Linked DNA regions of Pelodiscus sinensis. The protein of the gene in region 2 purifies or fractionates together with the protein of the main gene of each other region. This does not show direct contact. Links are inferred from orthologs where the notes say so. Each region holds a gene or a part of one and is shown on either strand. Other genes may lie near its edges.

Region 1 (10,489 bases), on a different chromosome or scaffold from region 2:
ACCCTACAGGGAACAAAAAGCTAGCAGTACAAAAGGCAGTGGTAGAGTTCCCTCTGAATTTTTTATCTCATGCAAGAAAAGTCAATACCTTTGTCTTGGTAACTTGGGGGTGAGCTGGGAACCATCTTTACACTTTAAACCAGGGCTAGGCAAGATGAGGCCAAGGCACTGCATCCAGACACTTATTTATATCTTGCTGCCCATGCCACCAAATTTCCAGCTGGTGGCTCAGGCAGCAGGATCCTATTAAATAGCTCATGGCTCCTGGTCACAGCACTACGCCAGCAGGGACTGGAGCCACTAATCCTTTAAATTGCTATTTAAAATGCTTGCAGCTCCATGCCCCACCTAGGGATGTTAAATTTAGATTAATTGACTAATTAAATAGTCAATGCAATTTGCATCGACTATTCAATAGTCAATAAGAGCACCTTTGCCTTAGAAGTGTAGCAACAGCCCCAGGCTGTTGCTACACTTCAAAGGTGAAAGCACTGAGGGAAGCACATGGCCAGCAAGGGGCTCAAGCAGTTCCCCACTGGCCCAATTCTCCCCGAGGCATTTCAAAGCCACAGTGCCACATGGAGCCCAGGGTCAGTGGGGGAGTCCCCAGCTGGTCCCAAACTGCAGCATTTCAAAGTGGCAGCACTGCGTGGAGCCCAGGGCATGTCTGGCCCCAGACTCCACATGGTGGTGCTGCTCTGAAGCGCCCCTTCCTTCCCCCTGCCCCTCCCCCAACTGCCTCTTTCTGATAGAGGCAGCAAGGGAAGGGAGCAACTAGTGCATCGACTATCCAAAAAGCATTTGCTTGTCGAATAGTTGATTAGTCATTCACATCCCTAACCCCACCACTACCTCATTGCCTGGCAGCCGCCCAGGAATGCTGTGCCTATTTAAAAGGATTGTGGCTCCAGCCCCTGCTGGGGTAGTATCACAACCAGCAACCCTTTAAATAGCCACACTAACCCTGGGTAGCTGCCAGGCAATGTGTTACTGGTGAGGCTGGGAGGTGCAAACCCTTTGCTGTGTTTTTAATCCCAAGTTTCCAGCCCCAAACAACTCTGTGGGGAGGCTAGTCCCCAACCCCACGCCTTCCATGGGATGGGGGAAGAGAAGGAGCCAGGCTATGACCATGTACCAAAATTAATTAATGGCACCCCTGTAAAAATTACTGCCCACCCTTGTTTTAAACTCTGAGGGAAAATATGTGCTCATACCTACCTATGGTTCCTTCCACTTCATTGGGTTCATCTGTGCTCTACTTAAGGAACTAGCTATACTGTGTCAAAGTCACAAATAGGTCCTGACATAGCTGGACTCTTCCCAACACATCTCCCCCAATACCTTTTTCCTTACTTTTCTTGGCAGGAGTCTGTGTCTAAGGCTCCTTCAAGGTATACACAGGGTCTGAGGATGGTGGTACGGTCTTTGCCAAATATGGAATATAACTCATGGTAAGAATTCCAGATCTGCAACTTAGCACATCAATTGTTGGCCTCTCTGACCTTGCAGTATGTCTGACACAGTTTCTTCACTTTCACCTGACACTGCTACTGATCCCTGTCATACCTCTTCACCTGCATCTCCCGTTCAATCTTTTTGTAAATGTGAACTTCAACAGCTGGTCTGTAGCTGTGCTTTCAAAGCTTGTTCTCACCACAGACCCAAAAAATCCAATACCTCCAGCCTACTCCTAGCAGCAACACAATTAGTGAGTGGAACCAGCAGAGTTTGTTGTGCAGTTGAACAAGGGAGAGTTGCTACGTGTGTTCACCAATGTAGACAATCAGGAAAATGCATTTCCAAAAACAAGAGGGAGTGGCTTCCACTTTAAGACCCCTGGACAGTGGAATTCACAATTGTAACCAGCGGAAACTGCCAGGTATTTTGGGACAGTTGGAGAATCACCAGGGTTGACATAGTGCAGTACAAGTGTAGATACTGTTTGACCTGACTTCAGTAGGTCAACTATGGCTCAAGGCCATTCAAAAAGATGGTTTTACTGCATCACCTTAACAGGGTACTTATGTTAGCTAAAGACAAATCTGACTATGCACCAACAGGGTCAACACAAATTAACTTATGTTGACCTAACTTTGTAGTGTAGACCAAATCTCCGTGTGTCATGTAGGTGACCAGTGAGTGTGTATGCTGAATGAATAGCTTCTTCCTATTCTGAGGGAGGTTAAAAAAGGACTATACAGTTCTTCATGCCCTACAGTTCAAAGTGGAAGAGAGAAGAGCAGTATCAGCTAAATTTGACTTGCTTAAAAATACAGTCTTTCATCAGAATCAGGAGGAAGCAGCTTGCATGTATGCATGCTTCCAGGCTAATGCTGAATTATAAATCACCTTCCTGGACCCCACCACCCCCAAGTCATTTGTAATTTTTAGAGCTCTGCAATATGGCCATCTTAGTATGTTACAAGCAACCATCTATGAAGAATAGGAATTCTAGGTGATGTGCATTTCATTTACTTATTCTTGTGAAATAAAGTCTTATAAACCTACTATCAAAATAATTCATAGACTATCCAGAGACTTTGAGGAAAGTAGTTGTCAGATTCCATATAAGACAAAGAAAAAAAGTGCAAGAACTATTGCAACTGTCACAAATGAAGCACTAGCTAACAAAGTCTGCAATAGCATCAGACAAATGACTGTTAAACTACATCTATGCTATAAGCTAGAGATGCAATTCCCCATCTCTCACGCACATATACCTGTGCTAGCTTGATGAGAACTAGCACAAATATAAATAGTAGTGTAAGCCACACCAAGCATGTACCCACAGGGTTCAAGCGGGTTTATACTCGGTATGATACTTCTGCTACTGCAGCAACACTGTTATTTACACTTGTACTGGCTTTCATGATGTGTGTACACAAGCTGGCAATCACACCCCAAGCTCGTTGTGAAGACACAGCCTCAGTCTACTTAGAGCAAGGAGAGTAACCTGAACTGAATTCTTGTGCCCACCTGAAAAATCTGCCTACACTTCCAATTTTACTCTAGAGAAATGAGCAATTTAGTGATCAGGAACATGTACAGCAATATCGCTAGATTTAACTGACTGCTCTTCACTTTAAATATTTTGTCAAATATTTCAAAACCATATCTCATTTTCCATTCCAAATATGTCATGTGTCATGCAGGTAGTAAAAACTACAACAAAAGCCCAATTCTGAAATTCTACCCCATACAGCAAAGCACGCTGCAAAACCCTTATTATTCTCTCATTCCTGAATAACTGGCTCCTTCAGCTTGACAATAATAAACAATTTAGATTACCCTAACTTTATTACTGTCGTGAGTAGTGTCACTTCTAGGCATAACTGAACATTAAGGAACTGTAGGACAACTGAGATTCCCCAAGAATTCTTTATCCCAATTAAGCTAGCTAGCTTTGCTACCACAGGCTTGGAACTAGGTTCTCTTACCATTTCATTAATAAAGTAGTGAATCTTAATCCAGCCTTTAAAATGCCAAGAAAAACTTATCTGCCCAGACCCAAAGTCTGATTCACTGATTTTTGATGACTACTTAGTTAGAAAGAAATCATATATATTTACTCAAAGTAGAAATTTTCAGAAGGTAGTTTTAAAGAAATCTAAAATCAAAATAAAGATTAAATTGGGAACGAGGAAACCATATCACTTACTAAGAAATAGACATTAGAAAAAAAAATCAGATCAGCTACTTTTCCTATTTAGAAATTCAAATGCTATTAAAACTGAATAACCTATAAAGAGGGATATCAGACCCAGACATTTGTAAACAAAGAAAATATCATTAAACACTGAAATTTTGAATATTTTCTGGATTAATTGTACAAAGATGTCAGTCATTAACCCCTAAAAATGAGTAGTCCTGTGGCACCTTGGAGACTAACAAAAATATATAGAATCATGACTTTCGTGGGTAAAATGCACTTTATCGAATGAGTTGGAATGGAAAACTCATCTCGTGAAGTAGGTTTTATGCATGATTCTATATTTTTTTGTTAATCTCTAAGAAAGGTGTCACAGGATTACTCATTTTAAAGCTTAAGACTAACACGGCCGCTCAGACTTATCAACCCCTAAGATACAGATATTAACAGCCACTGTTTTTAGTATTCCAATTGCCAATGGAATCCCTAGTCACATCTAACTATTTCTGGACACCTATTATGAGATTAGTCCATTCACGTAACACTCGATTCAGAACACCACGTACTCTGTCAGTTACAATGCAAAAAGAGCAGACATGCAAAAATCAACTGTTTACCTATTCACCCTTAAAAAATAGTTTACTGAAGAGTTGGACTTCTGAAACAAAACTTTATACAGAAACTTGTCTATACTCCTGTGTAATTCAAGATTTAGAATTTAAATCCTGTGTTCAATAGCTAAGATCTAAATATCTCTTCTATAATTTTCAAGCATCTACAAACAACTGTTGATATTTAAATACATATCGTCATGTGCGCCCTATTACATTGCACAGATTTTAGAATTCAGGTGACAGCAAGCTGTATTTGATAAAGTAAAAACTGGGAAACTATTTGTTAACTTTCAACCACCTAGCTACTCCAAATATTGGAGCAGCCATTCATCAGTCAGACCAGCATTACTTCAGAATTCGGATGGCAGGGAAAGAATTTTCTGACCACTTGGCTGTATACTCCCTTATCCCACGCCTGAGAGCGCAAGCATGTAAAATGAAGTTATAGTTCAGAGCAATTTTCTGTACAAGAGTACACTGAAAAGATTATACTCACCTATTTTTTTTAATCAAACAACAAATGGTCTGGTAGCACTTCATAGACTAACAAAACATGTAGATAGTATTATGAGCTTTCGTGGTATAGCCCACTTCTTCAGATGACGGGAGTTTTGAGTTTAGGATGTGCAGACCCCAAAAAAATAGGGGAGAAGGGGAAGGAAAAAAAAGGAAGGGGGTGGAAAACAAGGGGCAGAGGGTATGAAAATATCAAAGGGAAAAACAAGTAGGCAGTGTGTCAATTGTATACATTATCTCTGTTTATTATAAATTAAGCTGTAAGTGGAAGAACCTCTCTCAGAACTACACCTAATTTATGATAATTAATAACTAAATATCTGTCTAGACTAGAGAAGATATTTTAAAAGGTGTTAGCAAAAAAATTTTTAACACAGGCAAACTTCCAAAACTTGTTAGCTATTTGACAAATAGCACATTTGTCACATTGCAAGCATTGATTCTTCCTGGCCCCCCATTCAAAGGGTTTACCTTGACCAGAAAAGATACAAACTTGCTTGTCTGTAAGACTGTGTAAAGACCAATTAACTAATGCCTTTCAAAGAACATATTTTAAAAATACAACCTTTTATGCTGACTTACACAAGCCCTAAGAGAATATGTTCACTGAAGCTTTGGCTACACATATTGTACTTAGTTAACTAAAGAGATTGAGAAATTGATTCTATTTAACACTGTCCAACACAAGGGGAACTTGCTGATTTAGCTTGTTAATAAACCAATTTAGTTACAACTATACAATTTGCATGGTTGGGCAAGGCTTAGATTTATGCAATTCCTGAAGAATTCTTGAGGTTTCCTTAAATCAGCAAGCATTCATAATGAACATTTAACTCCAGACAATTTCCTTTTAAAAACAGTTGCTACTTAGAATTTGAAGAGACATAGATTTATGAGATGTTTTGCTTATGCTTAGGCCCCGTGCGTACAAGTATACAGTTTAAAGTTCACTATACTATACAAACATTTAATATTAGACAGATTAAGGGGAGGTCTACATTAAACTTTTGTTGGTAATGCTGGAACTCTGGCAAAACTTAAACCAGCAAAAACTCTTAATGTGCATACATTTATACATGCATAAAAGTGTTTTTGCTAGAACACAAAAGTCTCTTTTGCCAGAATAGCTTATTTCATGCATTGAATCAGTACATGCTATAATGGCAAAAGAGGTATGTTTGCTAGTATAAACTGCACCTACATTAGGAGGGCTAGTTGATACAACTGTACCAACAAACTTTTTTTGAACCAGAGACATAGCTTAAGTAAAATGATTGCCTCAAAACTACAAATTCACCTCTAAAATATGCAAATAAGATATAAAAATTAAACTTTTTAAATTATCAAAACAGTAGAAAGTGCTATATACAAAATATGCAATTACTATGAATTAATTGAGTGTTTTAAAGTGTTGAGAAGCTAGCCCTGTGAAAGAACACTGTATGAATAAGAGAAAAGTTATTTAATATTACAAAATAGCTTTAAAAAGCAAATTTAATGCATAAGTAACTACAAACAAAATAAAATAAAGCCATCCCAGGAACAGAATGCATGGGGAGGAGGGGAGAGAGAGAAGAGAACCCAGTTCTTCATATGCCAAGGCTCCATGGTTAACATTTGCCCTTGGGGGAAAAAACCCTAAAAAAACTAAATAAAAACTTTAAAATAGAAACGTCTCACATTTGTGAAGAATTCCTAGACTTGACACTGTCACAGCAAAGGAATGTGTAGATTATATCACGTAAAGCTTACTGGTGCGTTCTAAAGGACGTGGCAACTGCTGGCCATTAATCTTTAACACAAAGAAGATTCAAGTCTAACTACAAAGACAGACAATATCTTAGGTAATTTACAGTCCCCCACCCCCCGACACACACACAGACAACTGTTTAACCTAATGGGCAGGCCTATGTGGATCATAGTAATGCGTCTCCAAATACATCACCATTCAGTCTACAAAGTCACATTTCTCACGAAGTCTTGCACCAATTCAGAGAGAGCTTATGGATACTGAACAGGCACGAAACGGCTGGAGCGGGTGGAAAAATAGTCGCCAAGCAAATACGATCACATAAAGGCTCAGTCTCAGACAAATGGACAAAGACTCCCCCCCCGAAAGGAATTAGCAACGTGCGGCTCGAGGTTTGCATCGGGACTAACACGCCCCAAGAACAATGTGTTCCCCGCTGCCGGGAGGGGCGGGGGGATGGAGGGTTGCCTCTATTGATTACACAGGGAAAAACCCAGCTGCTGCTGCAATGCAACACACACCGATAGAAGGGCAGCGCTTCTCCCTCCCCGCCTTGGACACGGGATCGCGAGCAGCCTCCAGCCCCGCAAAAAAAAAGACGCGCCAGGAGCTCACAAGCTGGCCCCACGCGCCGCCCAAATCACAGGGGCTCTCACGCCATGTACGGGCAGCCGCGCCCGGCCCGCTGGCTCCCCAAGGCGCCGGGCGGGCTGGCCATTATCCCCGCGGAGCCGGAGCCAGCCCTCCCCGCCCGGCGCCCGCACAACGGCCCCCAGGGCGCTTCCACAGAGCAACAAGCCAACGGCGCAGGCGGCAGAGAACCCGCCCCTCGAACAACGCCCCCCCCTTCCCCACAGACCCGCGCGCTTTCCCCGGCTACCTCCGCCTAGGCCCCCCCGCCGGGCCCTCCTCCCACCGGAGACCCCCACAGCGCCCCCCATGCGAACACCGCGGTGCGGAGGCCCCTCACCTCATGGTGCTGCCCGCGTCGGGGAGCCGCTCTCCCCCTTCCTCTCGAGCCGGTCCTTCAATGGGCAGCGAAGTCCCTGAGTGCGAGCGAGTTCTCCGTTCAGCCGCCGGGTCGGGCCAGACCCGACCACAGCGGGGGGTGAGGGGAACGAAGAGGAACAAACCAACTCCCGGAGTAGGGGGGAAGGGGCGGGAGCGCCTGCACCAGAGCGCGGGCGTCTCGAGACACCGGTTTGCTTGAGAGGGTGGGGGGCACGGCCGCACGCAGGGGACGCGGTGGGCGGAGCGGCGGGGCCACGCCCACTACTGGTCTGCATTCCGTGTGGATTCTGAAGTGGGGAGGAGCAGGGAATGAGCAGCAATTGTGGGAGAAATGAACCGGGGTTACTAGGCTTTGGCGACCCCTGGCGGGGAGTGGTGGCCCCTCTGCACACTTGTGCAGGGCTGGGGTTCCTGTGCATAGAAGCAATGCATACAGTAATGGACCCTCCAGTGGTTTCTCTACCAAACATAAGTTCAGATATTGTAGGGGATTATTTAGCCTGTCTACTTATTGTTCAAACCCCAGGTGATATCTCTGCACAACGGCATTGCATAAACTGTTGAATGTTACAGTCTCCTGTACACAGCACTGCATTCATTATTGATGAGCAGTGCAGTGGTTTTTCTACATGTTTGTATTCCATGCACTGATTGCAGATGATACCAAGCTGGGAGAGGTTGCAAGTGCTTTGCAGGATAGGGTCATGATTCAAAATGATCTGAACAAACCAGAGAAATGGTCAGAGGTAAATAGGATGAAGTTTAATAAGGACAAATGAAAACTACTCCACTTAGGAAGGCACAATCAGTTTCACACATACAGACTGGGAAGTGACTGTCTAAGGAGGAGTACTGGAGAAAGGGCTCACCAGTCATAATGGACCACAAGCTAATTATAAGTCAACAGCATGACACTGTTGCAAAAAAGCAAACCTGATTCTGAGATGCATTAACCGGGTTGTTGTGAGAAAGACCTGAGACATAATTATTCCACTGTACTCTGCACTGGTTAGGCCTCATTTGGAGTATTGTGTCAAGTTCTGGGCACCACATTTGAAGAAAGATGTGGAAAAATTGGAGCGGATCCAGAAAAGAGCAATAAAAATGTTAAAGGTCTGGAAAATATGATGTATGAGGGAAGACTGAAAGAATTAGGTTTGTTTAGTTTGGAAAATAGAAAACAGAGGGGACACGATAGAAGTTTTCAAGTACCTAAAAGGGTGTTACAAGGAGGAAAAAAATATGTTCTCATTGACCTCTGATGATAGGACAAGAAGCAATGGTCTTAAATTGCAGCAAGGGAGGTTTAAGTTGGACATTAGGAAGTTGTTCCTAACTGTCAGGTTGGTTAAGCAATGGAATAAATTGCCTCAGGAGGTTGTAGAATCTCCATATTTAAGAGAAGGTTGGGACGGACATCTATTAGAGATAATCTAGACGGTGCTTGGTCCTGCAGTGAGGGCAGGAGCCTGGACTTGATGACCTCTCCAGGTCCCTTCAAGTTCTAGTATTCTATGATTCCTGTGGTTATTCCCTTGTACACGTGCCCTGCAATACAAATGATCCATGTTCCAATTTTTCTTACACACACACACACATTATAATTCATTATTCCATTGGTCCTTATGAATGTGCAGTATGCATCCACAGAATGTACCCCTGAATACTGATGAATTTTTTTTGGTGGGTTCTGGATACATTAAGCCCACTTTTCCTCTGTGGCCTCTTTATGACATCTTTGCTAAAGCAAAGCACCAATAAGATAAGTGAATCAGTAATCTGGTACGTTCCGGGATAATATAGAGCTCTCTAGCCGGATGTATCTCCTCTGGCAAAAAAACCCAAGTTAGAGGCACGGCAGGGTCATGAGTCAGGGGGAGCATTTAGCTATTCTCAATTGAGCCAATACCTGTTGTAGAATCATTACAGTTCAATGTAAATTAGAACAGCCCTCAGACAATGACTAGAGCAATCTTGGGATCTCTTCCATTTCTTCTGAGGTGCAATCAAGCTTAGCTCATCCACAACTAAGAATCAGAATAATTTCAATTCCCTATCCCCTGAAATCCATAGAATTGGGTTTTTTTGTTTGTTTGTTTTTTTCATATCCCAGCTGACATAAGGTCTTAGGAAAAATGGAGGGGAATAAATTACATTTAGTTAGTCTTCCCCTATGAGTCCCCTCGGTGGCAACCAAATTACTTTGCAAGCCCCCTTAGACTGGTTCAATGAAATCTGCAAAGTCTTGCATATATCACTAGTATTACACATGTCACTATTGGGGTTGCCAACCTGTGAAGACCTGAAGTCTCAAGCAACTAAAGATTAATCTTTAATTAAAGATATTCTTGGAAATTTCATCAAATTATATATCCAAAGTTGGAATCCTAGTCACTATGCACAATTCTATCCTCACTGTATCCACTTAGATCTTGATTCATCTACCTTTTCTTAAAACAAGTAATCCCTTACTCCACAAGGGTATGTCTACACTACCCTCCTAGTTCGAACTAGGAAGGTAATGTAGGCATACCGCACTTGCAAATGAAGCCCGGGATTTGAATTTCCCGGGCTTCATTTGCATAAACTGGGCGCCGCCATTTTTAAATCCCTGCTCGTTCGAACCCCGTGCCGCGCGGCTACACGTGACACGAACTAGGTAGTTCGGACTAGGCTTCCTAGTCCGAACTACCGTTACTCCTCATTCCACGAGGAGTAACGGTAGTTCGGACTAGGAAACCTAGTCCGAACTACCTAGTTCGTGCCGCGTGTAGCCGCGCGGCACGGGGTTCGAACGAGCAGGGATTTAAAAATGGCGGCGCCCAGTTTATGCAAATGAAGCCCGGGAAATTCAAATCCCGGGCTTCATTTGCAAGTGCGGTATGCCTACATTACCCCGCTAGTTCGTACTAGCGGGGTAGTGTAGACATACCCCAAGATACTTAGTCC
Region 2 (9,949 bases):
CCAGACCTCTCCTCCTGCAGCCCCGCTCCTGCCCTTTTACCTGCAAACCCCCAGCCCTCTCGGCTCAGCGGGGAAGCTCCAGCAGCTGCAGCACCAGCAGAACAAAGGGAAGGCTGGGCGATTCCATAGTGTCACACATTCCTCAGCCAGGCCCTGCGACTCACTGTCCTTTCTGTCTTGCTGTCCCTTCCTGTCATTGTGGCAATGGGCAAGGACTCCTACAGCCGCCTCACTGGCTACAAAGGCTGCCGGCCCTGCCTCCACCCCTTCCTGCAGGAGGCGGCTCCTGGATCCAGCCAGCCTCCCTGACACATTGCTAGAGCCATTCCCTCCCAGCCCCTGCTGTGTAGCTGCTGCTCTAAAGCCAGCACATCAAGCTTGCTGTGCTGTACAGCGCTTTCCTGTTTGCCCCAGGACATGCTCACAGCTCCATCCTGCCAATGGTACCTCACTGCAGAGAGAACTGCCTATTTCCCATCCCAGTCATGTCCTGAAAAACAAGTTCTCCGCGGAAACTCCTTCCCCATCTCCCCTCCCGCCAGGGATCAATGCCAGATTTGCCCTTAGGATATTTCCAAACTCACAACATCCAGGAGCTATTGGCCATCTCCTGATAAGAGCCCACATTGCTGAGATTTTCCCCTATGCTGGTACCCAGCCCAGAGCGCTTGCCTGCACTAAGCAGCTTGTCATGCTGACCACACACAATAATGCTCCCATGGCACACAGGGTAAGTATGCCAGCATGCAGAGTTAGTTTGTTTTGAACAACATTCTTCTACAGTGCCTGCCTCTGCACAGTCAGCATGGATGAGGATGGGCTGCCTCACTGGAGTGGTTAGAGCAAACAGCCCTGTGACAGTTATTCCACAGTACTGCTATCACTAGGGCCACAAACAAGTTCTCCAAGTTGTAAAGTACCTGTGAGATCAAGATAATTTGCCTTAGTTGTTATTTTGGTAGATCCCTACAAATTCACAGATATCTGCATTCATGGATAGGGGTAGCTGCAGATCATTTTTGCAGATATGGATGCTGGTACACATTTTGTATCTAGAGCCCTGCAAATTAACTACTTTATATTTGCTGATCATTTCTGCATATCCCTGCAGGGCTGTGCGTGTTGAAATAATCCTCACCCACCCTCCCCTACCATAGCCCCAGAGAACTCTCTCATATCCAACTGAAGGGCAGGTTAGGGAAGAAGGGTCATCAGCATAGACCACAAGATGCTTCCCCCCTTCCCCAGGTCAGTCCATAAGGATGCTGAAGAGCAGGTTACCAAATTTTAAGCCAAAAAATGGCCTTATTATTGTGACCTGCATAACAGACCATCCTCCCTCACACAGTGATCCTGCTTCTGTTGGAGCTAAAGCATGTCATTTTGAAAGATATCCAGTCTTCATTTAAAAACTAAGTGATAGCAAACGCACTATGCCCTTGGTAAACTGTTCAAATAGTTAATCACTAGCCATTGAATCTTCTTATGCCTGTACCTGCTTGTTTCAAGAAACTGCCATTAGAATCTTTTCCTGTGTAGGTACTTGAAGATCACAGCCTAGTCTCCACATGATCACACTTTATAATGGAGCTGGTCTTTAGAGAGATGGAGTATGGGACATCAGCTGCTTCATGCAGATACGTTAGGGTCATTGCCAGCAGCTGTTCCCATCTCCCTGACCCCAGAGCAGCCTCCTTCCCCCTCCTTCCAATACACATACATTTATCTAGGCCAAAGCTTCTTTCTCCTCACAGCAGCTTTCCACCTGCAGCTGCCCCTGCCTGTCCCAAGTTCTGCTTAAAAAGCAGCAGGAAGGCATCTCTTCTGTTTGTCCACCAGTCACCCTATTAGAAGGAAGGGAGTATGGAGCTGCCATGGATCGAAGCCTTCCTAGCATGCCTTTAGACTGATCCACCTCCTCTATGGTCTCCCCACAGTTCTACTATGGTGTACAATTACTGAGGGAATGCCACTTAGGCAGGCCTGAGCCCGATTTAGTTATCAAGCCTCCCACAAAGGAAGAGATGTTCTGACATCTACAATAATCAGAAGATTCCACACAGCTGTAGAGCAGGGCTATTGAACATGTAGCCTGCACTGTGGTTTGGGTTTACATGGGGCTCAACACACAGCCGGTGGTTGGAATCCTTTTAACATGCCTTCCACTGGGAACACGCGCCATAGTGGCGAGATGTCTCCCAGGAGGGGTAAGCATAGAAAGATGCAAACGGATGGGCTGGCTGGAACAGACAGGTACAGGGTGTCAGTGTTTCTAGCCCCCAGGGAGGAGGTGCAGGGAGCACTGGGGCATTTTGGGAAAGAAGCTATTTGCATATATATTTGCATGTATATGCAACCATGCTTAAGTTGCATTCCTCAGCATGTGCTGTGAGTACCATTGGGGCCCCCAGGGCATCCAAAGTTGAGTAGCCCTGGGCTAGAGGAAGGTTGCACCAAAGCCAGAAATTGAGATTTAGAGCCTTTCATTGGCTATAGCTGCACTGGTTACATGAAAGCAATCTCTTAAGGCCATCACAGATTGCTCTATTTTCGATGTAAGTCCTGACCTAAGCCATACTTACTGGGTGACATACCTGGCTGGGTTGATTTAGTTGGAATTGGTCCTGCCTTGCTTGGGTAGGGGGGTGGACTTTATGACCTCCTGAAGTCTCTTCCAGCTCTATGATTCTATGAAAGGGAACCAACCAATTCTCAGTCTCAGGTGTGTGACCCCAGGACCTGAACTTCACTGGCCAATCTTCACTGTACCCCACCCAGGAGCAGAGAATGGAAAGCAAAGGCAGGGACCTACCCCAATGTTCTCCAAAATGATTCCTTCCCTAGGGAGGATCCCAGCTCAGAGCAAGCAGGCAGTATTTGGGTGGGAGGGGGCTTTTGTTTCATAATCCAGTAACTCTGGCATGAAGTCACCCACCTCCTCCAAATGAAAAATGAAGGGGATGTGCTATTAAAATATGAAGTGAAAGAAGCTGATTTACTTCAGTTTTTTTTTGGGGGGGGGGTGTTCTTTTTTCCCCCAGTTAAACAGAGTCACATGTGTTTCCACCCCATCAAACTCTGGTTAATCCTGCAAAGTTTGCTTGGATAGCAAAAAAACAAACACACCACGCACAAACAAACAAAAAAACCCACCCTGCGTCCCTGCAACAGCAAAGTCCTTTCTTTTTCAAGCAACTGGTGTTTCTCCACTCAATCTCCACCCCACCCCCACCCATTCCTTTGCCTAATGACTCCTACTTCCCCTTCCCCACCAGAAAGTTCATTTCCAGGCATGTAAATTGTAGTCAGGGATTGGACCGGGGAAAGGGGAACTTTCAAAGCCAGGCCTGGAGTGAATCTGTAGCAGTCACATAACTGCACACCCGCGTCTCCCCGTTCCTCGCTACACAGCACGGCAAGAAAGAAACATGCAGACATATTGCAAGCGCCAGACAGTCACAAATTTGCAGGCACTCACCTCCCGTCTCCTCAGATCTCCTCCCCGGCAGGGCAGAGGAGACATGAAGGAGTCTCGAAAAGTTTCGGATTCTTTCCCCACCCAAACATCTGGAAAAAGGCTCTAGGGGTCTCACTCACACTGCAGCGTCTCGACTCGGCAGCGCGCCCTCCCCGCCCCCGCGGGCTGCTAGTTTTACAAAGGGAAGGAGGCGATTTCTTAGGTATTTCATTTCCACGGGGCGGCTGGGGGCACTTACCCGCCAGCCCAGGGTTGGCAACTTAGTCAGGCTTTCAAAAGTATGAGGCTCCCCCGGAAAAGGAGACAGAGACGCCAAGTCCATAAAGTTAACGCTAACTAGAGCGGCCCAAGCTGTGCCACCAGCACCGACCGCGCACACAAGAGCAGGTTCAGCCTCGCAGCCCCAGGACGTGGGGCAGGAAATTAGAGGGAGGGGAGCTTTCCTGCTGCCAAAAAACCGCAGTTAGTTTTTGAGCATAAAGTTGCAATAAAACTAGGAGGCAACGAGCTTCAGCCGGGACTTTTGCCCAAAGGAAGCGGGAGGAGAGGGGACTCACCTCTGGGGAGGAGCAGGCTGGGTCTCTTGGACTAAAAGTTTGTAGCTGCCTGTAAAGTCTCTAGTGCTGCTAGCACGCAAGCCCAGCCCCACTCTGCCCTCCCAGCGCCTGGGCGTGCCGCGCTCTGCCCCCTGCACAGCGATCAGAACCAGCTTCGGTTGCTTGTCTGCCAAATCGGGAGGGGGAAGGACTTGGAGGAGGGGGGACTACAGAGCCCAGGACTTCCTAGCATCTCGCAAAAAGGCCTCGCCCAAGCAAAGCTGTGTGACCATAAAAGGAGAGAGGCTGCGCGAACAGCTGAGCTCACTCACCAGGGAATGTGGCAATGAGGTAAGAGGAGGAGGAGGATGAATACACTAGACAGGACTGTTGAGAGACGAGTGGGGGAGAACAGCAACGCTCTCCCTCTTACAACCAGCTCTCGTTGCCCTTCCCCCTGTGTTGTGAGGGGAGGGAGGTGTCAGCTTTCCCTCCTATCGCTGCTATGGGAGGCCTGTATTTCATACCCTCCCTGCTTTCCTTCCACTCCTGGATTCCCTATTTCCCCCGAGATTTGCCGGCCTTGCGGCTCAGTCTTGATTCCCAGCCCCTTCCACTCCACTCCTGTCTTCCCTTCAGCTTAGGCAAAGCCCCTCAGTTAGGCGCCCCCGCACGCTTGTGTTTTATCTCTTGCCCCAGCGCTGGGTTGCCTCCGCCTTCCCCAACTTTTTCAGCAACTGGTGTTTCCAGGCTTAACCTCCACCCCATTCCTTAACCTGGTGACCCCCCACCAGTGACTTCATTTCCAGTCTCAACCACTGCACGTAAGCAGAGGCCCGGCAGCTCTTGTGAGTCAGGAGGCAGGGTCCCTCTGGCCCCTTCCCTAGCCCCTCCCCAAGCAACCAGCTGCAAGAGCATCTGACTCTGACTTTTCCAATCCTACAGACGCTGTTAAAAAACAAACCAGCAATACTGCAAGGAATGTAGTTCCTCATGTATTCAGAACCAGACAGGAGGTGGGGGCACCTGAACAACCCACTTAGCTCCCTGGGCACAGCCTCCTCCAGACCCAAGTGTCCTGGCACAGCTCTGTTGATGCCCCTTATCCTTAGATAGCCATGTCACTGGCTATTCTAGTCTTGTGCTTTGCACATTGTACTGCTGACCTGCAAGATCCACATTGTTCCCAAACCATTCCAGCATTATCTATTAGGTTTTGTTTTCAGTCTGAACATGGATGGTGTGAGTGCTCAATGGTGCACCTCACCCAGAGGGTCTGGTCCCTGCACGAAGGAGTTTACTATTGAAATTCTCCATCTTTGGTTTTCTTTTATTCTCTTTCCCTGGGTCCTTTTTTGCAGGGCAGCCTCCCTAAGCTTATTTGTTCCAAGTCTGGAGCCAAGGGGGAATTCCTGTTCTTTGCATAAACACCATGCTCTCTCCTTGAAATCTGGCAGTAATACTGGGCTTTCTGCCCCCTATTGTTGCTAAATTTCCAAGGGATTAATCTTTGTCATTTAATCTTTGCAATGCTCAGAGAATTTAGGATTTTTTTACATTGAGGTATTTATCTAGCAGCAACATTGGTGTAACTACCACAGAGCATGCCTCTAGTATCACATGGGGCTTGCACTGGTGAAGCTGGTCTGACCTGAGAGACACTAGTTCAAATCCCAGTTTATGCTGATACAGTGTGTCTGAAGTTGAACTAGAGATCTGTACTGATGCAGCTATGTTGATGTAGCTACATCTGAATCTGGAAACCCTAGAAGAAACAAACCCTTAATTGTATACTAGGACCCCTCCTGCTTTCTACGCTCACCAACCTCCTCCGCCTTCCCAGAACACCTGTGAGGGGGGAGGCCGTGCAGCTCTCTCTTGTTCACTGGTGCTCCCCTGGTCCCTGGGGGGAGGGAGGGAAGAGGCTGTGGGGCTCTTGCCCCCCTGAACACCAGGTAGGGGGGCGAGGCCATGCAGCTCCTGCCCATCCTAGGAACACCAGGAAGAGAGGAGGCTACAGGGCTTCTGCCCTGCCCCGCCCCACCCCCCTACCCTCCCCCCAGGACTGAGGAAGCCACATGGCTCCGGCCCTGCCCCCCGGAGCACTGGGGAGGCCACATGGCTCCTGCTCCACTCCCCCCCCCCCCTTGGAGCACTGAGGAGGCTGCATGGTTGCTTGCCCCAGTACTGGGGAGGCCGTGTGATTCCTGCCTGTCCCCCAGAACACCAGGGAGTCAGGGAGGTAGGAAGGACTCCGGGCGGCAGGATGCAGAGTGATGTGCTGATGTTGCTCTGTTATCCTTCAGGAAACGTGTTTTTTATATAGAGAGATCTCTTGTGAAACGTTATGGAGCCTTGAGCAAATCGCTACACTTCTGTATGCCTCAATTTTCCTGTCTGTGAAATGGGACTAACCATATTGACTTATTTCATATGCAAGTGATTGAATTTTGTTGTTATGATGCAATAAATGCAGACATGTCAGGAATCCCAGTTACAATCTGGTTGTCCCCAGACACAGTTTGGCTACGTCTACACTGGCCCCTTTTCTGAAAGGGGCATGCTAATTTTCAACTTCAGAATAGGGAAATCCGCGGGGGATTTAAATATCCCCCGCGGGATTTAAATAAAGATGTCTGCCGCTTTTTTCCGGCTTGGGGAAAAGCCGGAAAAAAGCATCTAGACTGGCCCGATCCTCCGGAATAAAGCCCTATTCAAAGTAGGAATAAGAGATCCTCCGGAATAGGGCTTTATTCCGGAGGATCGGGCCAGTCTAGACGCTTTTTTCCGGCTTTTCCCCAAGCCGGAAAAAAGCAGCGGACATCTTTATTTAAATCCCGCGGGGGATATTTAAATCCCCCGCGGATTTCCCTATTCTGAAATTGAAAATTAGCATGCCCCTTTCGGAAAAGGGGCCAGTGTAGACGTAGCCTTCATGTACCACATGATTTTGTAGGATGTATGAACTGGAGTCGTGCTGTGCTGGAACATCACATGGCTTTTGCATTATTTGGATCATACCTATGATACCAAAAGTTTCAACTTAGATCTCCTAACACTCTTATATCTAGTATGGATGGACAATCTGTGCTTCATGTTGGGGTATTGTGGTCAGGCCACATCCTTACACACACTATTCCCTCTTAAACACAGTGCCCCAAAAGGAAAAGCACACCAATTTAGAGAATCTGTCCACTTCACCAACCATCTGCAGGCTTATGTCACTGGGCCTGGGAAAGCACCACACACTGGCATCAGTCTGGACTCTGAGAAAACAGTCCACCCTGCTGAGACAGTCTTGGGCTGTGGTAGTTTCTAACAAAAGCCATTACAAAAGGGTCTCATGAAACACATAATTGTTTCAGAGATTTCCTGTCAGCTACTTGGGTTGGCACTAGACAGACCTAGCTATGGCAACAGAGTTCCAGCCCCAGCTGCTCTGACTGCAAAAGCATAGACCTTAGTGTGGTCTAGTAGTCGGTACAATAGGGCACTGGCCAAAGGCTCGGGAAATATGAATTCTATTACTGGCTTTGCTGGTAACCGATTTTAAGCATAATACTTTCCTTTTGTCTTCCACCCTTTATCTCTTATGCTTAGACTCAGCTCTTCGGGGCCAGGAGGACTGCCTTGGACTATGTACCATACTTAGCACAATGGGGCCATAATCTCTTGGTTCTCAACCCCGTACTGGGATATAAGTAATCTGTATACAGGCAGTCCCCGGGTTACGTACAAGATAGGGACTGTAGGTTTGTTCTTAAGTTGAATTTGTATGTAAGTCGGAACTGGCTCCAGGTTCAGCCGCTGCTGAAACTGATCAGCGGCTGACTACAGGAAGCCCTAGGCAGAGTTGCTCTGCCCCCTGCTTCCTGGAATTAGCCGCTGATCAGTTTCAACAGCGGCTGAATCTGGACTCCTGGGACAGAACAGCTGGGGCACTGCCGGGTAGGTCCCCGCAGGACCAACCCGGCAGCACCCCAGCTGCTCTACCCCAGGCATCCCGCAACAAAAGCCTGGTCTGCTGGGGGGGGGGTGCACTAGCTGCGCCCCCTCGCCTCCAGCAGACCAGGGAGACCCGAGCAAAGCCGCGGAGGCGCAGAGGTCACGCCACCTCTGCGGCTTTGCTCCTGTCTCCCTGCTGTGCTGGGGGACTCTTCCCCCCGCCCCAGCACAGCAGGGAGACAGGAGCAAAGCCACAGAGGCGGGGGACCCCGCCGCCTCTGCGGCTTTGCTCGGGTCTCCCTGCTATGCTGGGGAGTCCCCCCCAGTACACCAGGGAGACCCGGAGCAGCTTTTCTCGCCCTGGTGGCGGGACGGCTGCGCTCTGGGTGGTCCCGCCGCCCGCGAGCTCCGGGGCGAGAAAAGCCCCGTTCGTAAGTGCGGATCCGACATAAGTCGGATCCGCGTAAGTCGGGGACTGCCTGTAATACGATTCCAGGAATGTTGAGCCTAAAATGTTTATTGAGTCCCTGTGAAGTTATAGAAGCAACTACAGGCATAGTTGAGATTTCCCTTTGTTCAGAATATAGACAACGCCAATCATTACTGGGTTTTGGAGTCTCTTATCTTATTTTTAAATTAGCCATTTTGCCTTTATGAATTACATCTGTGCAGTGTACATTGCAGTAAGATATGTTTCTATGCCATGTTGAATGTCCTATGCCATTTTTGTTTGCGATGTTTTTGTAGCCATGTTGGTCCTGGATATTAGAGAAACAAAGTGGGTGAGGTAATAACTTTTATCGGATCAACTTCCATTAGTAAGAAAGACAAGCTTTGGAGCTTACACAGAACTCTTTTTCAGGTCTGAGAAACTCCAGGTGTCATTGCTAAATATATGATTGAATAGATCACTTGGCATAAGTAGTTTTGACATATATTTCAAGGGACCATTCAAGGTGAAGTGGTCTATTAACATCTCTCCAGTCAGAGGGAGGAAAGGAAGTGGAAGGAGGGTTTCAGATTATTATAATAAGATATGTGCCTCTATTCAGTTCATGATATTTAGTGTCTAGCAAAGTTATGAATGTAAGCTTCCAAACTCATCTTTTGAAAGTGTTGTGTAAATTTCCTTTGAGACTGAGGACTACTGGCAGCATGTATTGTAGGCAGGGGGAGGCTGTGTCTCCCCAAACAGCCAAATGTGGCCCCACCCACACTGCACTCCCAGGCCGGGTTCCCTTGTGCCAGTGCTCTGCCCTGGCTGGGGATGACAGGCCTGTCTCACACAGAAACTCAGGGCAGCTAGTGTTGGGGCCACCCTCTACAGGTGGTGCTCAGACCATGCTGCCCCATCCAGCAGCCCTATGCTATCCAGCAGCCCAGAGTACTGGGGCCTTGCCTCCTGGCTGTCCAGTGCTGGGGCTGGGAACTGGGGGGGGGAGGGGTGTTCTGATAAGCTTCATGAAGAATAGGAATGCTTATGAATATGACATAACTGAAAATGCTTTATGCAAAATGCCTTGTGTAAGGTATCATGTATTGGAAGGTATCATTGGAAAGCTTGTAATATACTGAAATATGGAGCATAAACTGGTGTTATCAAAGTAGTCATGCTAGGTGAGGGCCATTAATGCTACTTCAGGATCGTGATGGCCATTGTTCCGGCAAAGCTGCGTGCCTGCGCGGCCGCACACAAACTTCTCTTCTCCTGCCCACCTCATTTACAGAGCCATGCAGCAGCACTCACCTTCCTGCTGGAAAGTGAGTGGCATGGCAGGCAGCTGCTCCGGCTTGTGGGACCAGCTGAGGCAGCATGGTGGAGGGGCCACTTCAGTGGCTGGCTGGGGCCAGCTCCAGCGGGATGCTGGGACATGCAACATGGCAGTGGGGGCAGGTACAGGAGACTGGGGGCCTGCCTGAGGGGCTGGCCAGGGGCTTGCTCAAGGGGCCAGCTGGGAGCCTGCTCAGGAGGCCGTGGCCATGCAGTCGA

The links.
Region 1: the proteins of ZYX (region 2) and ENAH purify together in Homo sapiens (co-immunoprecipitation; 4 studies listed by BioGRID and IntAct, counting the BioPlex papers as one, with this or other methods). This does not show direct contact. The link is inferred for Pelodiscus sinensis from reciprocal best matches to the Homo sapiens genes ZYX and ENAH.

The regions. Positions count from the first base shown.
Region 1 is NC_134713.1:156,790,906-156,801,394, forward strand, and holds the start of ENAH (protein enabled homolog), read right to left. Parts: upstream 4,819-10,489; 5' UTR 4,804-4,818; coding exon 4,760-4,803; intron 1-4,759. UniProt on the Homo sapiens protein: Ena/VASP proteins are actin-associated proteins involved in a range of processes dependent on cytoskeleton remodeling and cell polarity such as axon guidance and lamellipodial and filopodial dynamics in migrating cells.
Region 2 is NC_134711.1:137,759,346-137,769,294, reverse strand, and holds the start of ZYX (zyxin), read right to left. Parts: upstream 4,471-9,949; 5' UTR 4,347-4,470; intron 4,172-4,346; exon of another isoform or gene 4,036-4,171; intron 3,884-4,035; exon of another isoform or gene 3,717-3,883; intron 3,632-3,716; exon of another isoform or gene 3,479-3,631; intron 2,689-3,478; exon of another isoform or gene 2,595-2,688; intron 435-2,594; exon of another isoform or gene 41-434; intron 1-40. UniProt on the Homo sapiens protein: Adhesion plaque protein. Binds alpha-actinin and the CRP protein. Important for targeting TES and ENA/VASP family members to focal adhesions and for the formation of actin-rich structures.